3 linked regions of the Tamandua tetradactyla genome follow. The protein of the gene in region 2 interacts with the protein of the main gene of each other region in a biochemical or structural test. Links are inferred from orthologs where the notes say so. Each region holds a gene or a part of one and is shown on either strand. Other genes may lie near its edges.

The links.
Region 1: the proteins of BCL2L2 (region 2) and BAD interact in a biophysical measurement, tested with the Homo sapiens proteins (4 studies listed by BioGRID and IntAct, with this or other methods). The link is inferred for Tamandua tetradactyla from reciprocal best matches to the Homo sapiens genes BCL2L2 and BAD.
Region 3: the proteins of BCL2L2 (region 2) and BIK interact in a biophysical measurement, tested with the Homo sapiens proteins (2 studies listed by BioGRID and IntAct, with this or other methods). The link is inferred for Tamandua tetradactyla from reciprocal best matches to the Homo sapiens genes BCL2L2 and BIK.

Annotation. Positions count from the first base shown.
Region 1 is NC_135335.1:10,363,085-10,371,025, forward strand, and holds the start of BAD (bcl2-associated agonist of cell death), read left to right. Parts: upstream 1-4,864; 5' UTR 4,865-4,987; exon of another isoform or gene 4,988-5,022; intron 5,023-5,062; exon of another isoform or gene 5,063-5,887; intron 5,888-5,972; 5' UTR 5,973-5,980; coding exon 5,981-6,158; intron 6,159-7,941. Other genes in the region: integral membrane protein GPR137, read right to left, coding at 1,246-1,405, 1,714-1,832, 1,980-2,108, 2,208-2,357, 2,461-2,686, 3,382-3,431, 3,576-4,025, 4,112-4,165. UniProt on the Homo sapiens protein: Promotes cell death. Successfully competes for the binding to Bcl-X(L), Bcl-2 and Bcl-W, thereby affecting the level of heterodimerization of these proteins with BAX. Can reverse the death repressor activity of Bcl-X(L), but not that of Bcl-2.
Region 2 is NC_135340.1:31,574,298-31,582,354, reverse strand, and holds the start of BCL2L2 (bcl-2-like protein 2), read left to right. Parts: upstream 1-5,033; 5' UTR 5,034-5,126; exon of another isoform or gene 5,127-5,426; 5' UTR 5,427-5,514; exon of another isoform or gene 5,515-5,651; intron 5,652-5,954; 5' UTR 5,955-5,962; coding exon 5,963-6,394; exon of another isoform or gene 6,395-6,446; intron 6,447-6,935; exon of another isoform or gene 6,936-7,034; coding exon 7,035-7,184; 3' UTR 7,185-8,057. Other genes in the region: PPP1R3E (protein phosphatase 1 regulatory subunit 3E), read right to left, coding at 1-23, 256-672. UniProt on the Homo sapiens protein: Promotes cell survival. Blocks dexamethasone-induced apoptosis. Mediates survival of postmitotic Sertoli cells by suppressing death-promoting activity of BAX.
Region 3 is NC_135333.1:36,798,856-36,805,977, reverse strand, and holds the start of BIK (bcl-2-interacting killer), read right to left. Parts: upstream 3,053-7,122; coding exon 2,984-3,052; intron 2,707-2,983; coding exon 2,555-2,706; intron 1-2,554.

The sequences.
Region 1 (7,941 bases), on a different chromosome or scaffold from region 2:
GGGGACCTGGAGGTCACTATAACCCAAGGATTCTCTCTCCCCAACAGAAAAGGGACCGCTGTTCTGGGTTTTAAAGAGGCCAGCGTTCCTCAAGGTTCAAAATAGAGCCTGGGGTGGTAAAGAGTCCTGTAAACGTTAGCAATGTTCATCCCAACAAAGTGATCACCCAGCTTCGAGCCCATTCTCCGTGATCCTTGGTTACCCTCTCTGGAGGCTCCCCAGCCCTGGTGCCCAGGGGAGTCCCAGGGAGGGGTTGCTAGGCAGGCTCAGTGCTAGGCCCGGGGAATTCTGAGGAGCTGGGACAGCCAAATAGGTGGACAGGGAACAGACCCTCCAGTAAACAGCTCCCAGCAGTGGGACAGATCTGTGTCAGGTTGACAGGGCTATGGGAGCAGAGGGCAGTGACCATGCTATTAGGAGCAGAGAAAGAAGGGGACCCCAAGACCACCAGGCAGACGCGGGGTGGGGGGCAGCCAGCCCACCTAGCCAAATGCATGCCCTGATAGACACAAGCTGCTCGGTCACCATGCTAACACCTCCATAGGCCCTGGGCTAACTCCTGGCAACTGGACGCCAGGTTGAGGGTGGTGAGAAGGAAACAGGGTATCCCCAAGTTCCCATTTATTGGGGGTAAGAGGCATAATAGCCACATAATCACCATGCTACAGGCCCTAGGGGATGAGCCACCATTCCCTGACCAGGAGATGGCAGGCTTCAAAAAGGAGGTGACATCTGAAGCAAGTCTTGGGGAAAGGAGCCTGGGAGAACAAAGACCTGTCTCTCTTCCCTCCTTGGCACCCTCTCCTTGCCCACCAGCCACAGCAGAGGGCAGCAGCCCTTCTCAGCCCAGGAGCCCTCTTCAGGCCAAGGCTGACCAAACAGGCAGAGATGAGAGAAGAATACAAAGCAGTCAAGAGAAGACGGACAGAAGAACAGACACAGGAGACAGACGCTGTTTATTGAGTGGTTGATGCAGGAGAGGTAGCTGGCTCCGGCGTGGACGCGGAGGCAGCAGCTCATGCCGGCGTGTTGTGGGCATGTGGCAGCTACGGCCAGGCCCCCATCCTAAGTGGGGGGGACGGCACAAGCTCACTACGACAGGAGCAGCCAGGGAGCCCGCTGGGGAGCAGGCAGCCACAGCCCCCGGGACCCCAGGCAAGAAGCTGCAGATGAACTTGGCCCAGGGGCCTGGGTGAAGGGGGACTGGGGTCTGGGCATCCTGGGGAGCAGGAGGGGAGTGGGGGTTCACGTCTGTGGGGTGGAATAGAGACAGTGGTGGTGGCCGCCGGGTCCCGGCACCTGGGAGAAGAGCAGAGGAGAGGTCCGCGTCTGGCTGCCTCCGCACCAGCCCGGCTCACGCCCGATGGCGCCGTACCAGCTGCCTGAGCCTAGGCTGCCTGACATGCTGCAGACAGAGAAATAGGGTCAGTCCCAGGACAGTGACTGGGGCCACATGCATGGGAGCTGGGGGAGAGACCGAGGCTTAGAACAGAGCATGCTGGGAGGAGCTCCCGGGGAGCAGCCCCATGCCCCAGACCTCCAGGGCCCAAGGCTTGAGCCCCCGAGACCATTGCAAACTGCACCTTGGGATGGGGCGGGGCATGGGGTCAGCAATAGAAAAACCAGAGGTAGAACCCAGCCAGGGCCAGCGATGGGGGGACAAGACCAGGCTGTAGGTGCCCAAGGCTCCCGAGGCAGGGCGGGGACTCCTACCTGGTGCTCTCACCCCTGCTGTGCTCCCAGGAGCAGCCGTCGTCCTCACAGTGCCCAGCTCGATCGAAGAAGTAGGAACGGGAGCCAAAGACATGCCCACTGAGGATGCGGCTGGTGCTCTAGGGGGAGGAGACCACCCTCAGCACCTTCTCCCGGCTGCCACTGGCCTCCCATAAATCCCCCTGCCCCTGGCACTGCCACATCTGGCCCTCTCTCCACCGGCCCTGCAGCGGGGGGTGGTGGTGGGGTGGACTGGAGGCCCTCACCAGGTCCTGTGCCGGCCGGTGCACCCGGAAAAAGCCCACCAGCAGCGTGGTGGGCAACAGCTCCCACACAAAGAGGATGAGGCCGAACACCAGGTACCCTTTGTCCCCCAGGTCATTCACCAGGTCCGCCTGGGGGAAGGAAGGAAGGTACAGGGCTTGTTCCCATCTGCAATGGTGCCAATGGACCAGCGGGCCAGCCGGGAGCTGCGGCTGCTCCAGGATGCCCACCTGATCGGACACGTTGTACCAGTCGTAGTCGAAGGCGTCCAGCCGGCTCCGCGGGGCCAAGGCCAGGGCTGCCAAGTTGTAGCAGGCCCGGCTAGCATAGAGTAGGACCATGGCGCCACCCATGGCAGCTGCCTGGCACACACTGGTCCCCTGGCAAAGGTTTGTGACAGCTCAGGGAGAGGCAGCGCCCGGCTCCCTCTCTACCCTGAGGACCGCGGTTCCATACACGGGGCATCCGAGCCTCGGGGCCTACCTTGGTTTCCAGGTAGATGCTGGTGGAGGGGGCCCGCCGGGCCACCAGGCAGAGGCAGGCAGCAAGAGAGAGCGCGCAGATGACGAAGAGGGAGTCGCTCACCAGGACTCGTACCAGCAGCAGGGCCCAGGGCTGTGCCCGGCGCCGGTGGGACAGCACAGCGCACAGCACGTTCACCAGCAGAAAGAGCAGGGAGGCTCCCACAAAGGCCCCGCGCACAGCCAGCCTGCAGCCCACAGCACGGTCGGCTCCAGGTAGAGGCCCCCCGGCTCCCACCGCCCACCCCACCTCCCCACGGAGACCCCGGAGACCCCAGAGCCCGTCGGGACCTGCTCCTCCCCTTTGACAGATGGGGAAACTGAGGCCCAAAGAGGTCGGTAGGCGATCTGACAGCTGTGATACCGGGAATCAGACACCTGGGTTTGAGCCCTGGCTCTGCTTCCCGCCAGCTCTGTGACCTTGAACCTGCTGCTTTACCTGGCTGGGCTTCGGTTTCTTCATCTCCCGGATGGGGATAATAAGGACCTCACAGGCTAATTGTAAAACTTAAAGGTTTGTGACGGCTCTGTTATAAACTCTAAGATATTCTTACAAACCACAGGGGCATTGCTGCCCAGTGTCACCCAGAGGTGCAGTCTGACTCTGGAGCACCCATGGGCTGGTGCTTCCTGCCTTTCCTCAGACAATGAGACCCTCATCGCGCACACCCCCCTCCGCCGCCCCTGGCCCTTACAGGCTCACAGCTGCTTCCATTATTGTTGCCCTTCACACACGCAACGCCTCTAGTCCCGCCACCTGTGCCAGGTGCTTTAACTTTTCCAAGCTCGTTCACACACATTCCCTGAAGGTCTTCGTCTCAGCCCAGCAAGGTGAGGAGGGGTGGGAGGTGGCCCAAGCCCCCCCGGTGCCCTGAGTACTTACAAGCCTCGGCTCATCTCTGGCCGACGCTTCGCCTTGGCCTTGAACACCACCTGGGAGCAGAGATGCCCATCAGTCTTTGCAGCCCTTGGGGGCCCCTCACTACACACACACACACACACACACACACACACACACACACACACACACACACACACACACACACACCCTCCAACACCACCCGTTCCGACAGTTACCTGGGCAAAGTAGAGGTTCATGAGGGTCAGAGTGAAGAATTGCAGGCAGACGGGGCAGCAGTAGAGAAGCCAAAAGGGCAGGGGCCCCAGGCGGTTGGCTCGCGGGGTATCTCGGAAGTAGAAGGAAAAGAGGGTGGTACGCAAGGCAGCCCACAGCAGACAGAGTGCCAGGAACACCGTCTGATAGCTGAGACGCTTGTGCCCATACAGGAGCACCAGCCAGAGCTGGGCATAGACGGAGAAGAAGAGCAGGGCGTACAGGGTGGTGTAGGCTGCAGTGAGTCCCAGGGTCACGGCGGGCGGCAGCGCAGGCACCAGCCCAGCAGCAGGCACCAGGCCAGACAGGTTACTCTCCATGGCAGGGACGGCGGCCCGAATCCCGGAGACAGAGATGGAGGGGCTGGCCGGCAGCCAGGGAAATAAATACAGAGGGGAGAGGATCACAGGGTGCTGAGACAGAGAGATGGGGGAGTTCAGGAGGAAAGAAGTTGTGGCTGGCGCAGGCCCTTCTTCCGTGCCAGAGAGACCCTTTGCACCTGGGGGGCACCGACAGCCTGGGCCCTGAGCCGGAGCTCCTCACGCAGGGACATACGCTCCTCTCCAGAGCAGACGGGGGTCTCCTCCTTGGGCCACCCCCAGAACCCTGGGTGTGGGGGTGCAGATGCTGAAGGAGAGGGGTCCCAGGCCTTGGTCGCTCGGGAGGGTCCCAGCAGGAGGGGGAGAGCTGGCCTATGTCCGTTTGCTCAGGACAGCGGCCACTGCAGGGGTGCCCCAACGTCCCGCTCTCCCCCTCCCCAGGCTGGGAGGGAACTCGCTCCCTTCCAGTAATCGGGGTGGGGGGAGCGCCTCTGCCCTCTCGGGATTCCGGACGCCGCCCCCACCCCACCCCCCACCGCGTCCGCTCTCTGGTCGCGGGGGGCGGGAAGAGGCCGACACCGGGTGCCCGCGGCCGCCGCTGGGGAGCCGGCTCCGGTCGCCGGGACCCGGAGCTCCAGCTCCCCGGCTCCCGCTGTTCCGCCCCCTCCTGAGCCTGCGCCTGCGCCGTTCGCTACGCAAATTGCGCAGGGGCCGGCCCTGGCTCCGCAGCCCCGCGCCGCGCCCGCCGTGGGGCGGTTCGAGAATCGGCGCGAGCTGCGCTGCGGGCGGGTGCCAGGGGTTACGCGAGGTGGCGGGCGGCAGGGACGCGGGGAGGGCGCCGCACCCGCCCGTACGCCCTGGGGGGGCGCCGTGGCCTGGACCACTGCGCGGGCTCCCACGTTTCCCTCCCCTATTCCCGATTTGGATCGCGCCGCCCGCACGGGGGCGGGGACTTCGCCTCTGAAGGACACTTCCGCCCACAGTCAAGATGGCTCCCCGGGCCCCGCCCCCGGGCCCTTAACCCGCGGGGTCCCACCGCGGCTCCCGCTCACCTGGTCAGAGCCTTGCACGCCGCCCCACCAGCCCTACGGTTCGCCCTCACAGGGGCCCCTGTCCTTTCTCCTGAGCCCGGGCGGCCATCCTGCCAGGGCGAGGCTCCCTCTCTTATCTCGAGCGCACCCGAGACGGCGCCGGGAGTGGTGCCCCAGCTGCGGGAGGCGCGGGGTTTCCACGCTGGGGAGGAGGAGGGCGCGGGACTTCCCGACCGGGTCACCCAGTGCAGACCGAGCAGTAACAGTAATTGGAGCCGCGGCTGGACATCAAGTACGGCCTCGGCTGGTGCTTTCGCCCCCAGCAATCACTGCTCGGTTTACAAAGTTTTCACTGGCTGCTGAGGGAGGTGTCATTATCCCCAATCCAGACGGGTGGAAACTAAGGCCCAGAGGGGCGGAAGGACTTGTCAGCAGAAGCAGGTCTCCAGGCTCCAAACGGGGACTCCAGAGAATCCCTCACCTGCTTCCGCACACACCCCAGGCGTGAGGAAGCTGGGAGCTGAGCATCCAGGGACCAGCCCGGGACCCGAGAAGAAGGCGAGGGGCAGGACGGGCGGTGGGGCGGGGCCCGGTTTGGCCACGCCTCGCGGCCGGCCCGAGTGACATTGCAAAAGCCTATTGGGTCCGGTCAGTGACAGTTCCCGTTGCCCAGGTAACTAGGGCCGGGCGCCCTGAGTACTGCAGGGAGGCGGCGGGCCCGGGTCAGGGGCCTCGAGATTGGGCTTAGGGTGAGACCTGTGGGCCGTTGCCTTGGCCGGGAACGAGCCGGGGACTGCCTCACAGCCCCAGGGCCCGATGGTAGAGTTGGGTACTGAGTGGATAGGCTGAGCTCCTCCTATCCGGGCCAGACTCTGAGGATAGATGGGGGGCCTGGGAGGCAGGCCGGATCTGCGGGTTCCACGGGTAGGGAGGGAGCCAGGGGTACCTGCCCCCCACCCGCAGCGGCCCCAGCTGTCTGCCCTGACCACCCACTCTCTTGTCCCCACAGCCCGGAGCATGTTCCAGATCCCAGAGTTTGAGCGGGAAGATTCCAGCCTTGCAGATAGGGATCTGGGCCCCAGAGCCTCAGGGGACCAGCCTTCAGGCCTGTGCAAGCACCACCACACGGTTCCAGGCCTCCTGGGAGACGACAGCGGTCATCAGGGGCAGCCAGCTGGCAGCAGCCACCATGGAGGTAGGCAATCTCTTCAACCACCTGGCCCTCATAGCCCCCTGTACCCCAGCCACATTGACACTCACTGACTGGCTTTGGATAAGTCCATAACCTTTCTGAGCCTCGGTTTTCCTCTTCTGTAAAACAGAACACTCATCACCACTCAAAGGCTGTTGGGTATTAGCAGCAATATATAGGAAGCACTAAATTATAGAGTACTGATGCAGAGTACTTGCTCGGAAGAAAACATAGCTGTTATTGTAGGGCCAGGACAAATCAAAAGAACAGGCAGGGAGAAAGGGGAAGTGACTTGCCTAAGGCCACACTTGCTTGATGGAGGTTCCTTTGGTAGGTGGGGCTGGGAGACTCCTTGGTGCCCTGCCCCTAGGCTATGCCCTGCCGCAGACTATACCCCACCCCCAGGCTGCCTTCTTTCCCTGGGACTGGGCTTTCTAGCTTCCTTCCAGCTCCTGCCCACTCCAGGGCTAACCTCAGCTGCCAGGGGCAGGTGACCCCAAGTGGTAGACAGCTCTCCCAGGCAGCGGGGCCTGTGGGGGTTTGAGAAAGATGCTAGTAGAAGTACCCCTGCAACCTGGGCTGTCCTTGCATCCACTGAGGCCCACTGCTGGGGACATTTCTCAGTAGTCCCCCGTGCTCAGCACAGGCCTAGGTCCCTGCCCTGGGACAATCCCAGAGGCCTTCTGGAAAACAAAAACATGATCCCAGTCCCTGTTTTCTTCAGGAGCATGAAAGCTTATGCAGCCTCTATCTCAACCCCCCCAACCCCTCGCTCACACACACACTCTAATAATTTCCAGATCTTTTTATTTGTTGTTTCACCCCCAACACACACACACACCTAGCAATAGTACTCATCCTTTGGTTCCCCTGGCAGCATTCACATGCTCCACCGATTGAGTGCTTGACGTGGGCCACGCACTGTTCAGTTACATCTGTGAGCAAAAGAAATAAAAATCCTGGCCTTGTGGAGCTCACATCTCTAGTGGGATGGGGAGAGACAGGCCATAAACAAACAAGCCGACAAAGGAAATTACAGAATGTGATAGAGGTTTGTATTGCTGCTGGGTGGGTGGAGGGAAAGCTGCAGAGAAAAGAGAATGTGGAGCCCTAGGGCATGGGGTGGTCAACCTAGCTAAGAAGCAAGAGGTTCCGGCAGATACCTGTGGGAAAGCCTTCCAGGTGGCGGGAACAGCAAATGCTAAGGCCCTGGGGGCAAGGTAGTGACTGCATTGTCCCGGGCTTCTATGGCTGGAGGGGACAGTGAGGGGAAACAAAGTTGGAGAGGAGAGTAAAAGAGTTAAGGGACAAGGGACAGGGACGGGCACAGGCAATCTGGGCTGGGTCTGGAAGGCCATTGGAAGGAAGGGCTTTGGCTTTAACCCCGAATGCAAACGCTGGAAGGCCTTTGAGCTGAGAGGGTGTGATGGGATTGGGGCATTACCATCACCAGGGTTGAGGGGAGACTGTAACTGGCAAAAACAGAAGCAGAGATAATCCTGTCGCAATAATCCAGGAAAGAAAAGAGGGGGGGTTGGGCCAGGGTGGTGACAGCGGCGGGTGGTGAGAAGAAGCTGGATTCCAGGTCTGTTTGAAAGGTCCAGCTGGTGTGATTTGCTGGCGACTGGGTGAAGGTTGAGAAGGAGGAGTCAAGGGGAGGGGGCGCCCCCAAATTTTTGGCCTGAGCCCCTGCAGGGATGGAGTAGCCCTTAACTGAGGTGGCAGAGGGTGGGGTACGGGTGGCAGTCAGGAGCCCTGTTTGGTCCATGTGAGGTCAGAGGACGCT
Region 2 (8,057 bases):
GGTTCCAGGGCCGCGCGCGCCTCCTGGGGGAAAGAGGGAAGATGGGGGGAAGACAGGGGCGCACAGGGGCGGGGAGACAGGGGGCGAGGCAGTGGGCCAATCACAAGCCAGCTCCCAAAAGGGGCTACCAAGAGCAAGCGCAGGACAGGGGATAGAGATGGCTGTTCCTGGAGTAATCCATGCCCACACGCCCGCCGCGGTTGGATAGGGACACAGGTGGGGCCTCCGGGGAGGGGGCGTGTCCCTGCCGCCTACCTGGAGGCCGCGGGGTCGGGGCTGGCACGGAGCGAAGTGACGGAGTGCGTCCCTCTGCAGCTGCACCTGCACGTGGCGGGGCACCCGGGGTATCTCTCCTGGACGGAAGCGGCGCACCGCAGCCAGCTCCAGCCCCAGGGCATCCGCGAAGCGCACTCTCTTGCGAGTGTCGGGGCTGCGGCTGCGGGGCGCTCGGAACCCCCCGCCTCCGGCGGGCGCTGAGCGGGCCCGGCGGCCCCGACTCGGAGCGTGAGCGCGGGACCGGGCCCCGAGCCTCGTCCCGCCCTCGCCTGTCTCCTCCTCCGGCTCTTCCTCGAGGCTGGGCCGTTGGCTGCGGTAGTAGGCGCGCTCGGTTAGCGCGGCAATAAAGCTCAGGTTGCGGGGGATGTCGGTGCGAGGGGGACGCTCGCGGGACATGGCATCCCCCAGCGCGGGCGGGCGCCCGCAGCGCTGCACGCTCCCCTCTCTCCGGCTCTCCCTCCCGCCCCGCGTCCCCCGATGGCGCGAGGTCGGCTCAGCACCCCCTCGCCATTGCGTACTCTCCTTGCTGTCACCTCCAAGAGTCTTAACTTCCCCTTCCTCTGCCTCGTCTCTGAGGCAACCTTCCCTCCCTCCGGCCCGGCGTCCGCTCCAGGGTCTGGGACCGTCACCTCCTGCGAGCTCCCTCGTCTGAGCGTGCGCTCAACGGCGCTCACCCTCCAGCCCCGCGGCCTCCGCGGCCTCCGCCGCCCCGGCTCCCGCCCGCAGCCTTCTGACAGGTGGCTCCCCATCTGTCTCTGCTGCGGCTGCTGCTGCACCAGGGGGCGGGGATTCCACCCTTTCGGTCCCAGGTGAGGCCACCTTGCCTTCCCTTCATGTCCTCAACCTCTCCGGCACGGAAATGGTTAACTGAGGGAGGGACGAGTAACCTTTCCTTTTCTTGCTGAGAAGGTTCAAAACTTTCAGTGTGTAACTTTATCTTCAGGGCTTACTGTTTTCTTCCTACAACCGGAGGCTTCAGGTTTGGGTGGCGGGTGATGGTGGGCGCAGAGACGGGAAGGTCAGGTCAGGAAGGCTAGGTAGAGGCTTTCCAATAGAAGATGAGACGTGGTGTTCAAAAGGGTAGGTGGCTGAGCCCTGCCAGTTGGAAAGAGTTCTGGACTGAGTTGTACCTCCGCCTGTGGTACTGTTTAGCCTGACCTTAAGCAAGGCACAACTTCTCTGGACCTCAGTTTTCTTCTCTGTAAAACAACAACAGCAAAAACGGGTTAAAGGTATATGATCTCTAACCCGATGGTGAGCCCTTCAGGGGCAGGGGCTGCGTCTGCTTCATGGTCAATCTCGTTACATACAGACCCTCAAATTATTGAGTGCATAATTTGCACTCTACAACTCTTTTTTTTTTTAAACTTTTTTATTAATTAAAAATTAACAAACAAAACATTAAGATATCATTCCATTCTACACATACAATCAGTAATTCTTAATACCATCACATAGTTGCATATTCATTTCTTAGAACATTTGCATCGATTTAGAAAAAGAAATAAAAAGACAACAGAAAAAGAAATAAAACGATAATAGAGAAAAAAAAAAGATTATACATACCATACCCCTTACCCCTTGCTTTCTACAACCCTCTTGGATCTGGGATTGTTGGGTTCTTGTTCCAGTGGACATATCTTAGACCAAGTAGGGCACAGAGCCGGCTTTCCCCCTTTCATCTTTTCTACTTTACTGAAAAAGCACAAGAAGTGTTTTTTCTTTTTCTTTTTTGTCTTTCTAACTTTCCCACTAATCTTATATAGCACTTGCAATATTCTAGGTACTGTTTTAAGAGCTTTACAAATATTAACTCGTGAAATGCAGCTATCTTAGGAGCAGGGAGTATTAGTATCCCTATTTTATAGATGCAAAAATCAAGGCAGGGAGGGGTTAGGACCCTTGCCCCAGGGTCACATAGCTATAATAACTGGGGGGCTGGGAAATTTGGACCCCAGCAGTCTGGCTCTAGAGTCCACTTTCTAATCCTCATGGTTATATAAGGGTAAAACATTTAATGAAAATCGTTAACATCTTTACAGTATTGGACAATCAGAGTAGAAATGTCATCTCTAGATTTAGAACAGCAGGATAGTTTAATTGTAAAATCACAAGAGACTAAGCTATTAATAAACGATGTGTATCTTATTATTGTCCACCTCATTCTTGTTTGCATTTTAACTCTGGTATTTACCATAGCAATGCTCTTTAGCCAGGACTCTTTTTTTTTTTGCATGAGCAGGCACCTGCAATCAACCAGTTCTGGGGCATGGCAGGCAAGAACTCTGCCTGCTGAGCCACCATCGCCTGCCCAGGACTCATTTTTAAAACAACAATTGAGTTTTGTTTTTATTTTACATATGCATACAAAATCCATGGACATCTTCATATCTGAGGGTATAAAATAATCATATACTAATTTATGTTACAGTCAAGCAGTTTAAAACTGTCTTTCTTGCCCTGGTAAAATATGTGTCATTGAAGGAATATGATGTTAGTTTTTTGGGTGAAGGCTGTGTTGCTTTGTCTACAGATTGAGTTGCTGTTCCTTCTTGGCTCTGCGGTGTTGGTCTGAGAAAATCCTAGAGGTACATAGCTTTGGACCAGGTACACGTTGTGTTGGTTCAGCAACTCTGTGCCCCTGGCTGCTCAGACCTAGATTAAATCTTTCTTCTAAATCAGCCTTTATTTCTTAAGCAACTACTGTAGCTATTTTCACGTCTGGCTGAGACTGTTCAATAACTGGCCAGAGGCGTTGATTGGTTCACTCAGAATTTACTGAGAGTCTATTAGGCTATGAAGATGCAAACATGGATAAAACTTAGTTTCTGCTCTCAAGGAGGTTTTGAATAAATGGCAAATATATTTGGATCCTGAGATTTAAAAGTGTTTTATTTCAAGTAAGTTTCTTAGAAGAAACTACAATTCCAATTGAAGGCCTTGATTGGGTTATTCTCTAAAAAAGGGGGCAGCCTTACTGGAATGATCAGCCCAAGAGCAAAGGAGAATTGAAGATGGTAGGAGGGATACAGCCAAAAAGGAATGGACTAAAATGTGCACTTGGAAAAGAGGAGAAAACTGAGTTTGAACTTGTGAATGGTAGGAATTCAGACTGTGAGAACTGCAATGAATACCTAAAGGAAAGATGTGACCTTGAAGTAGTCTAGTGTATCAAAGTTAAGACGATAAGCTTTCAGGTTAGATGGAATTAGGTTGAGTCCCAGCTTCACCTTTCAATTCACCTTTGGGCAAATTATTTAACCTCACCAAGTCTCAATTTCCTCATCGACAGAATGAAGATAAAGCAGCATAAGGATTGGTGTAAGGATGAAATATCATGCTTGTAAAGAAAGCATTTAGCATCTAATTAATCCTCAAAGTGTATTAGTTGTTGCTGTTATTGTTACAGAAAAGCCCTTGCTTCTCCAAGTGACCATAGAAGCAGATAGGAATACCAAGGCTTGGACCGGAAGCAGAAACAGAGGAAACCAGCAGGAAAGCAGGAGAACTGGGTTACCTCTTTCTGGCCTTTGGTTGGGGCTCCTTCGAAATGGGCCCAAAGGAAGTGCTGGCTGCAAGGGATTGAGGCCTCTGTGAAACCAGCCGCTCCCACCCCCACTCCAGCCCCCATGAGGGGTCCCAGGAAGAATGCCTGTGAAGGCTTTGGGTGGATCAGCTGTGGCCAGACTCCCTCACTTCTGAACTGCCCTGGGCTCCTTAGCTCTATGCACATGTGCCATGTGTGGGAGAGAGAAAAGGTTCATAGGTCATCCAGAGACATGCTATCTGGAGAATAAATTTCTTTGAAGCCCTGGGGTTATGGGATCAACGCAGAGCAGGGCAATGTTGCGCTGCGACATTAAATAATAACTTGGATAAATCTCCAGTATCACAGGAAAAAATGAGTTACTGAATAATATTTACCATATGATTTAGTGTATGTAATAAAAGTCTAATATTTTGCGTATGTGTATAATCACACATACGTATACACACATTCATATACACACACACATATATGCTTATATACACAGCCACCACAAATCTGAAAGGATAAACAAAACATCAACTTTAACACTGGCAACCTCCAGGGAGGGAGGTAGAATGGGGGGGGCGGTGGAGGTAAGTGAAGTCGAGAATTTGTCGTTTTTGCTCTATACCTCTATATTGTTTGACTTTTCCATAATGAGAATGAGTTCATGTGCTGAGTAAAAAAACAATTTTTAAGAAAATCAATTTGATTTCAAAAAAAAAAGAAGAAGAAAAGTTACCTGCATGAACTGTTTGCAATCCAAGTTCTAGCCCCTGGATGTCTGGCCAGAGCCCCAGCCCATGGGAAGACCATTGATTAAAGGCCCTGGAGAAAAGAGGTTGGGAAAGGTTTGGTGACTATCTACTAGTCGCCCAAGGGCAAAGAACCTGGCAGGCAGATTTCAGGGTAATGGGAACTGCTCCTCTTTCCTGGGCACCCACTCCAGGCCTGGAAAAGTTCAACAAGTGCATGAGGCATCAGAGACCATCTGGAAATGCTGAATGGGTTCCGAGATTTCCCGAGGCCTGGAGCACTTCCCTGGGCAGCTCTGAGGCTGGCCCATGGTGCCCTCTTCACCCAGCTCTCCCTGCCCTTCAGAGGCCCTCTCTTTTCCCTAGTTGTGGCCCTTCCCAGGCCTGCGTCCCAGCCCCGCCCCTCTCTCTGGACGCATCTCTGGGCCCCATCATCACCCGGCGCCGGGCCCTCCCTCCCACCCCCCCTTTCTCCTCCCTCTTTCCTTCCCTCCCTTCCTCCCTTTCTCCCTCCCTCCCAGCTCCTGCACCAGGAAACGGCCTGGATCTCGGCCGCGGCCTGACCCGTGAGATCCCTAACCTGGCCGGCGGGCGGGGTTGGAGACAGGCTGAGGGTGGGGGTAAGGGAGGAGCTGGGCCTTTGGGCTGCACTGGGGGGAAGCTGGGAGTGGAGATGGTGTCGGCAGGAAGCCCTTGGCTCTGGGTTTCCCGGGAGGACAGTCATTAAACATGGATTCGGCCACACAGCTGGTAGAACGCTGGGGGCAGGGGCCCGGTCCCAAGAGCTGCAACCCCAGCCCTGCTCAGGCCAGACCCTGATCCCTGGCCTTCCCCACCTAGCTCTGATCTCCCCCTCACCTTCCCAGGGTTCCACGCTGGCCGGGAGGATGAAAGGCCCCAGCTGGGGGCTCCTTGCCACCAGCGCTGGGTCCTAAGAGCTGCCATCCAGGCTGGGTGAGTGTCCCCCTCCTTTCTCGGCCCCGGGCAACCCTTTGCTTCTCCTACCTTTCTCTTCAGCCCTTGTCTCCTCCCCATCTTGTGCCTCTGCCAGCATCTTCACATCTTGCCTCTGGGAGGTTCTAAGTGCTTTCCTGTAGCCCAAAGGATATACGAAGAGGAGGTTTGTAGGGCTGTCATAAAGCTGGTGTTGTCTTTTTATGGCAAGAATCTGATGTAGTACCATTTACTTTGGCATATTACACATTTGATTGCAGCCCCTCAGGCTTGGATGCCTCACCATGATTTAAGTCCCCTGTTCTTAGACCTCCTTGCCCAGCGGTCTCTGAGTGTCCCCTCCCACCCCTACCCTGTCTCACTGGATGGCTGAGCCTGAGCTGTGCCTTCTGGGTCCCTTCCGTATATTCATGCCAGTCTTTCATCCCTGACTCTTGCAGCCGCCCGGATGGCGACCCCTGCCTCAGCCCCAGACACACGGGCTTTGGTTGCAGACTTTGTAGGCTACAAGCTGAGGCAGAAGGGTTATGTCTGTGGCGCTGGCCCCGGGGAGAGCCCAGCAGCTGACCCGCTGCACCAAGCCATGCGGGCGGCGGGAGATGAGTTTGAGACCCGCTTCCGGCGCACCTTCTCTGACCTGGCGGCTCAGCTGCATGTGACCCCCGGCTCTGCCCAGCAGCGCTTCACCCAGGTCTCTGATGAACTTTTCCAAGGGGGTCCCAACTGGGGCCGCCTTGTGGCCTTCTTTGTCTTTGGGGCTGCGCTGTGTGCTGAGAGTGTCAATAAGGAGATGGAGCCTCTGGTGGGACAAGTGCAGGAGTGGATGGTGACCTACCTGGAGACACGGCTGGCTGACTGGATCCACAGCAGTGGCGGCTGGGTAAGAAGCTTCTCAGTTGTTGCTCTGCCCATCCCTCTGCAAAACTGATCTCCTGGGGGGAAGGTGGGGGCTCTGACTGGGGGCTGGGGAGAGCTGTGCTGGGAATGAGGCATGGGAGCTGAGTTCCCCTGTTTGGGTAGAATCAGACTGAGAGACACCCTCCCTGTGGGCACACGCTGGACTCTGCACGTCAGGGCTCGCTGCCATGCAGTAGTCACTGGACAGGCTCATGGTCCCAAGCAGAGAGGACAGACTACACAGCCCAAGGAAAGCCTGTAGGTGTTAGGCGAGGCTTTCAGGAGCTTTCTACACCCAAGTACGTGGATAGCATAGGGGAAGCAGTGAGGGGGTCGGGGGTGGGCAAGACCTGGTGAAGGATGCCAGCTCTGAGCAGAATTTTTGACCAAGTAAGGATGGGAGTCACCTGAGACTGACAGGGCGAATGAGCCACGTGCTCATGGGGGACACATGGGAGTATCAGAGGGGCTCGAGGCCAGCAGAGCTTTGGTCAGAGAGGAACTGGGTGTTTGGGGGTGCTCACAGTGGATGGAACTGGAACTCTTCCTCTCCTTTTTTCTCCATTCTTTCCTCTCCTGATATCCTTTCTCCTTCTCTCTCCTACTTCCCTTCTCTCCCACAGGCGGAGTTCACAGCTCTATACGGGGACGGGGCCCTGGAGGAGGCGCGGCGTCTGCGGGAGGGGAACTGGGCATCAGTGAGGACAGTGCTGACGGGGGCCGTGGCACTGGGGGCCCTGGTAACTGTAGGGGCCTTTTTTGCTAGCAAGTGAAAAAGTCCAGGGCCAGGTGGGGCTAGGTGTGGCTGGGGGACAGGAGCAGGAACAGAAAAGAGAAATGCCCTTGGAAGAAGTGGGGTGAATAGATGGGCAGGAAACGGGGATGGGAAGGGGAAGTAGAGGGTGTGAGGGAGCTGAGTGAAGCAGGTGGTTGGAAGTTGAGCTGGAGACACTGGAGAATGAATGTACTGGGAAGGCTGGAGGGCCAAGAGATAGTCACATTCCAGGGGTGGGGGGTGGTGGGAGGGATCATGCCTATAGGTGTGGGCACACGGAACTGCACCTGGAGCGTGGTTTGCAGCCCTAAAGAAGGTAGACTTGCATAGGGGGTTGCATCACCACTGGATGGGTGGAATTTGGGGAGACATAGAAGGTACATCCCTTTGGAATGGAAGCTCAGGGTACTCAGGTGATAGGGAGAGGTGGCTGTGACGGTGGGCTGCTTGGACACACGTGTGCATGTGCACGTGTGCTCATGTGCATGCTGGGCTGCTTGTCTAATCTGGCGGTGGTGGTATTCTTCAAGGCTAAAACATTCCCTCTTGCAGTGGCAAGAACAAGGGGCAGCTCTCTGCCCTTCCTCCCAGCTCCCTCCTTCCCCCTCTTATCCTGATGTCTCAAGGCTGAGGGAGAAACATTTTATCCAGGCTGAGGGCACTTCTCTGCAAAAAGTAGTTGGCAGGGCTTTGGAGAAAAGAGCAGTTCTGCAGCTGGCCTTGTTCCTTCATCACTCCCTTCCTTGTGCATCACGCACTTGCTGCTGCCTTCTGGGCTCTGATGGAAAGGCAGGGCTGAGGAGCCTGGGTGGGTAGAGGCCTGGGTAGCTGGACCTGCCTGCCACCCTCCTTTCCCACTGGGACACAATGT
Region 3 (7,122 bases), on a different chromosome or scaffold from region 2:
CTGCAGCTCCAAGACTCACTTTTGAATCAAAGTCTTCCCCAGTTGCCACCTTCCATTTATTTTCCAGAAAGTTGATCAGAAGGGGAAAAATGGACCTGTTCGCAGTGGTCTCTGGTTTCTTCTCTGTGGCTTAGTGATTTCAGATGTCATTTTTCTGCTGTTATATGTACTAAGCACCTAAAACTCACAATAATTAACGTGTAGGCAGCCCTTCCATCTGTTACCCAAGTGCCCAGGCACCAGGATATGGCAGTGAACATGACATTCAAGGCTTCTCTTCTCACAGAAGTGAAGGCTAGGGGGGCCACTCTGTACACATTAACGCAGAAGATAACTTCCCACTTTCTACTGTGTTTTGAAGACAAAGCAAGGTCACAGACCAAGGGAGTGGTGGTAGGGAGGGAGGGGTGTTCAGGGAAGACTTCTCAGAGGAAGCGGCAACTGGGCCAAGAAGGCAAAGACAAAACGTATGAGGGGCCGAGCACCCAATGGGACTAAATGTTTCACCCGGGTGATCCCGAGGCCTCGCAATATCCCATGGAAGTTCACCCTGCATCCCCAGTGCTTGGAGATGGTCAGCAGCATTTATCAACTTCCCCATCACCCTCCTTCTTCCCCTAAAGCGACTAGAAGCTATCTTAGAAAGTTGATTAAATAATTTCGCAGCCCTGGAAAAGGACATTTTTGAGGTACTGGCCGAAAACCCACACCCTGGCAGCCAGTTTCCCCTGATATTTAATAACCATTATATAAACGAAAAGCTAGAAAAGTAAAGGAAAATGGTGCAACCAAGCTTGTGGGAAAGCCGCAGCTAAATCAGTCCCTAAAGGCTCCTGTGACCTTAAGGTTCAGAAGATAGTGGGAAATCCCCAAATCCAGGAGTGAGAAGCGAGGGGGAGGAGTGGAGAACAGACGAGGCAAGGCGGGAGGGCAGCGAGATAAGGAAGGTCAGGCAGGCTACTGAGCCTCCAGGCACCCAGGTACGCACAGCTGCCCGGGAGCAGAAGGACTCATTGCCACCTTTGCCTCTGGGAGAGGACCTGGCTCCTGCCTGTGATCACCTGTGCCCATCCATTCAGGGAACCACCACCAGACGGTATCAAGAAACACCAAAATTGTACCACTTGAGAAGTTATTCTGAGGCTCTGCCCAAAGAGGTGAAAAACTCCAAGTAGAAAAAAGGTTAAGTATCATTAACTCTAGGGTGCTGCTAACAGCTAGCTGCCCTTGGGCTGGCATGGCTTCTCCATACCTGGCCAGACTCCTCCGGGGTTCCTTTAGAGAATGCAGTAATCTCTATTTTACAGAAGGAGGAAACTGAGGCTCAAAGAGGTGAAGTAGCCTGTGGAAGTCCACATAGCTGGAAAGCCGCTGAGTGGAGAGCAGAGTCTTGGCTTCAAGAAAACAGCTCTGGGTTTTGAGCTCTGCAGCTTGGGTATTTGTTTATATCCCTTTCTGGGCGGTGGGAGGCTGGTCTCAGTTTCTCCGTCTGTAAAATGAAATCTCCTGTGTCGGGAGCGGCTAGCACATCTTCCTAGTATGGGCTGGATTTTCCCCTTCTCAACGTGGGAACTACAAGGCTGCTAACTGTCCCTTTCTCTGCGAACTGGGGCAAGGATTACAGGTGTGTGTGTGGGGGGGGGCACTTGATACAGGGCCGGTCACAGCAGGTGCTCAAAAAATGTTGCAAGTGCAGCGGCAACAACGTCCCGTGCCCCAGGGATGGATGGTCCGGGAGAATATCAGAGTAGCAATTACCGGTTTCCAAAGCGGACGCGCATCCAGGAGGCCAAGGCGCCACCGCGAAAGTTGAACAAGCCGGGAGCCCGCCAGCGCTTATTAAAGCCGGGCCCGCAGGCTGCGCCGGGTCCCCTCCCGGGTGACCGAAGAACCGCGTCCCCGAGCCCATTCAAACGCTAAGCGCGCGGGCTGGCGGCTCCCTGTTTACAAAACAAGAGCCTGGCGCCCCGCCTCGGGGTCGAGCCGCGGCTCCGCCCGCTGTGCGCACCTGTGCAGGGGCGTGGGCAGGTGCGGGTCAGCGGCGGCGCCCGGCTCCGCTCACCAGTTCCTGTTCCGGGCTTTCCCGGCGCTCTAAGATAAAGCCTTTCTCCGACCCCTCCGCAGGTGCGCGGAGGCTCCCGGCGCTCGGGTCCCGGTGGGGACAGGTGCCCGACGCCATCTTCCCTTTTTTTAGGGGAACCTGGGGCTCTGACGTCCCGGCTCTGGGCCTGGGGTCCGGCACCGCACTCTTGCCCGCCCAACCCATCCCCCGACGGCCCCCAATAGATCGAGATCGAGATGGAGCCCAGAGCCGGGAGGCCGCGCAGGAGGGCGGCGCCGGGCAAGGGGGCCACCACCCCATTGCTCAGATGCGGAGATTGAGGCCCGCAGGGGGCCGCAACTGGAATCATCCGGGGCGATCGCAGAGCCGAGGTCTCCGAGTCTCCGCTCCGCACATACCACATCCTACACTTTCCCTGGGGACGAAAACCTGGGCCACGGGTCCTCAGCCTTCCACCCGCTCGGACCCCCCGGCGACCCCCAGGGCGTTTACCTGCCCGGCTCGGGCTGGGCGGAGGGTCGGACAGCAGCGAGGTAGAGGACGCGGGCGGGGCGCGTTTGGATCGCAGTCACCCCCGCGGCGGTGGCTACAGTGCCGGCGGCGTCTGGCGGTGGCGTGACCCGGGAGGTGTATTGTCTGAGGCTCTGCGGACGGCCCGGGACAGGATAGGCCGGCCGGGCCCCGCCCACGCCCCGCCCAAGCCCCTCTCTTCAGGGGGGTTCGCGCCCGCGGCCCAGCCTCCATCCCGCCCGCTCTGGCCCCGACGCCGTCGGCCCCGCCCTTTCCCCCTCCCACCTGGAATTCGAGGCCCCGCCCGCCCTGCGACCCCGCCCCCAGGGCGGCCTCCTTCGCCCCACCTCCCGGAGGCCAAGACTGAGACCGCAAATGGTAACAGAACTGCTACAAGTGTAATCTGCGTACTTGTTTATTGTCTCTGTGGCTCCGCAAATCTGCAAGCTTGTTTTTGTCCTTTCGCTGCCGACTGTGCATGCAGTAGCCCAGGCGGAATATTTGGGGATGGAGCTACTGGCCAAATCTGCGCCACTGTATACAACCTTCATTCCGTTCAAAAAAGTCCTAAGGGGTCGGTGCTTTTTCCGGTGCCCATTTTACCGATGAGAAAACTGAGGCTCAGAGAGGACAAAATGACTTGCTGAGTGGCAGTGTGAAGTCAGTGCTCAGATATCCGTACTCTTTACACTGGTAGCTTCGGGAATTAGGTATTTGTAAGCAAATTTCGCAAATGTAGAAAATAGGGCAGCTTCCCCCCACCCCCATCACTGCTTCCATCCCGGCTTGGTGCAGCCTTTGGCCTGCACACACCTGTTCCCGGTACCCCCCAAGCCTTGCAAAGCTGGGGCATCCTGACCTGCCCTGGGGCTCCTTGTTGCAAGAAAATGGAGGGTGGACAAGCAGTGGAGGCTAGAGCGAGGTGGTGCCCAGAGCTCCTGTGGAAGCAGGAGGAATGGAAGGAGCCCTGAGTGGGGGGAGGGAGCAGAAACCCCCAGGCCAGGCCTAGGGGCTGTTTGGGGTGGAGGAAGGGAGAGGCTGAGCAGGGATAACAAAGTAACCTTTGTTTGGAGAACACAACAAGGCTTGTTTACCTCAGTCTGATCTGAGGGCATAGGGTGGGGCCCAGAGGGGGCTCCCTGGGCTGTTCTGCCATTTGCCACCTGTGGGGCCCTCAGGGTCACATCACCACTGGGGTGACCAGCCTCTCACTCAGTGTCCTCATGTGCTAAAAGGGAAGACGGCACCGACCCCTGGAGCTGTTAGGGTCAGAGGGGAAAGTTAGCGAAGCTTTGAAGAACTCAGAGCCCAAATGTCTTTGTAAATGCATGTCCCTGTCTTAATGAGGTCCCCAGGTCTCATAAAGCCTAAGCCCCACAAAGCCGCTGTCCCCAGGGTCTGGCCGGCCACAGGGTGCCTTACAGGCAGGAGTGAGGAGCCAGCAAAATACTCAGGGAAAGTGAAACAGAAGCGGTGACACAGGGTGTTACAGGCCAAAAGACCCGAGGTGGGTAGAAATGCCCCCTGAGGGCCCTCGGGTGAAGCAAGGGCACTGCAGAGGGCACAGAGTGGGCACTCAATCAATGTTAGCAGAGCAAACAGAGGAAGGAGGTCAGTCTGGGGATAGATGGGGGATAGAAGGGCTGGGAGGAGTGGGTTAAAAAAATTTGCCTTGCAAGTTCCCTTGGTAATATGCTGATTAAATGGAGGAAGAGGCAAAATCCTTTTGAATAAGAATTGGTCCTTTAGTCCAAAAAAGGCCCTGGGTTAGATGGCAAATGGTATTAACAGTTCAAGGATAAGGTGACTTGTCCCACCTGTTTGGCCCCCACACCTAGGGCTAAGCACTCCCTAATAAGGAGCTCCTGTACTCTTGCAGCCAACCACCCCCATGTGACAGGACGGACCACACCCCTTCCATATGACAAGCTGGAGCACTCACAGGGTGCGTGAACAGGCACGGGACAACTTGTGACCTGTTTTACAGATGGGGAAACTGAGGCTTAGCAGAGGGAGGACAGCAGCAGAGGTGGGTGCAAGTCCCGGGGATCCTGCACTCAGGCCCGTGGTGCAGTCCCTTCCTTACCTGAGTGGCAGTCCAGGGGAGCTGCCTCTGGGGCCTCTGAACCTTCCTAGCGACCCCCACCCCCCCACCCCCCCTCCACCCCCCCACCCAAGCCCCTCCTGCTGCGACCATGACCGCTTTTGTCTGTTATTCAAGGATCTACTGCCCACAGACCCTTGGGCACCACTTCAGGTTGTCATTGATATGCATTTATTTGCTTATTCATTTAACAAATTGAGTGAAACTTGGCACGTGCCAGGCAGGATGGTCGGTGATGGGGTCCAGAGATGACACATCCTAGTGCAGGAGATAGAGGATAAACCTGGTGACGGGAAAATAGTGTCCAGCAGTCACAGGCACAGCACCAGCGCAGGAGCGTGGAGCAGGGGAGGGGTGGAGGGTGGAGGACAGGGGTGGGCCTTTTAGCCAGGGTGGCCAGAGGAGGCTCTGAGCGAGGCGAACTTCGTGCACAGAGGGAAGTGAGGAGAGGAGCCTTCCAGAGACCTGAGGGTGATGCCCATGGCTGGAGAGGGGAAGGAAGGGACAGAGCTGGCAGCGTGTGCAGGGTGGACAAGAAAATGACCACCTGCTTGCCAAGTGCTGGCCTCGGTGTCCAGAGCCCCACCTGGAGAGCCAGAAGCTGGTGTGGGTTTGAAATGGCCCTGTCTGGCCACTCGTCATCCCAGACTTTTATGCCCAGCCTTGAGGTGACACCTTATCTGGAAAATCCCTGAGCTCTGCGGGCTCTGCGGAAGCCTGTGTAATATCAGGAGGGTCGGCTCCTCAAAGGGCTTCTCTGTTCTTTCCCAAGCTGGGCCTGAGTTTAGTGCCAGGAGGCAGAGCAGCCTGGCAGGCCCCCTCCTCACCCGTGCATTTCACCTGCGCCCTTCCCAGGAGCACCTCGCAGGGAGCACAGTGGGCCGGGCACATTGCCTGGGTGGTTTCATGTACCTCCTTCTGCTTGTATGAAAAATCCAGCATAGGCAAATCCATAGGGACAGAGTCTCCCCACTAGAGACCAGCCTTGGAGAGGGGTTCTAACCGGCACCAGGGCACACAGCCAAGAGGTTGGAACCCTTTGTCCCATCCACCTTTGAAGACTGTAGCTGGACTTCTGAAAGTCTGTGACACCCCACTCCCCGCTGCCACACCCAGAGTAAAGCAAACTTGTGTTTGATTATGAGTCTTCTCTGGGAAGACGACTTGCAGCCAGCCTGGTGGGTGAGATCTGAGATGTACCAAGTTCGAATCCTGCCTCTACCACCTGTATAGTGGTAAATGCACCTAACATACAATTTACCATTTTAAAGTGTAAAATTCAGTGCCATTTAATGCGTTCACAATGTTGTGCAAATGTAACCACTATCTAGTTCCAGAACATTTTCCACTCCAAAAGGAGCCCCACACCATTAAGCAGCCACTCCCCACTCTGCCCCCCCACCTCAGCCCCTGGCAACCTCTAATTTGCTTTGTATCTCTATGGATTTGCCTGTGCTGGACCTTTCATACAAGTGGAATCAGACAATATGTGGCCTTTTGTGTCAGGTACTTTCACTTAGCATAATGATTTCCAGGTTCAACCATCTCGTAGCATGTGTCAGAACTTCATTCCTTTTTATGGCTGAATGGTAAAGAGTTTTAACATGTCCACAAAAGGTACTGTATCTTGGAGATGTGTGATCTATTAGATAAAATAGTGTGTTTTACAAATTAGTGTGTCCACTATAAATCCCATACTTTTAAAAACATTTTTTATTATAAACTATAACATATACAAAGCAAAGAAAGAAAAAAGCAGTAATTTTCAAAGCACACCTCAGCAAGTAGTTACAGAACAGGTCCCAGAATTTGTCATGGGCTACCATTCCTCCAGATTTTTTCCTTCTAGATGCTCCTAAACGCTGGAGGCTAGACGGGATATTAATATAGTGATTCAGCAGTCATACTTGTTTTCCAAATCCTATTCTCTCTGCTATGCCTCCTCCATTCCCCCGGATCCTTCTCCTAATCCATAGGGATCCCTGGGCAATGCCCTTTCTGGCTTTTTTTTTTTTTTTTTTTTTTTTTTATTTAGAGAGAGGGAGGAAAGGAAGGAAAGACAGAGAAGGAAGGAAGGGAGGAAGAAAGGGAAACATTTTTAAACATTTTCTTGTTTTATTATATTTTGTTTGTTTGTTTGTTTTTTACATGGGCTGGGGCCGGGAATCGAACCGGGGTCCTCCGGCACGGCAGGCAAGCACTCTTGCCCGCTGAGCCACCGCGGCCCGCCCCCTTTCTGGCTTTTTCATGTTGTGAAGGGGTGTCAACACTAAAGGATAGGGGGAGGTAATTAATTGATAATCTTGGAGAGGCTGGTCCCTCTGGGTTTCAGGAATAAATCCCACATTTCTAAAAGTCCCTGTATAAGAAAGTTCTGGTAGGAAACACAACAAAGCAAAGTGGTCCTGTCTGGGCAGTAGGATTGCAGGTGGTCAAATTTTCTGCA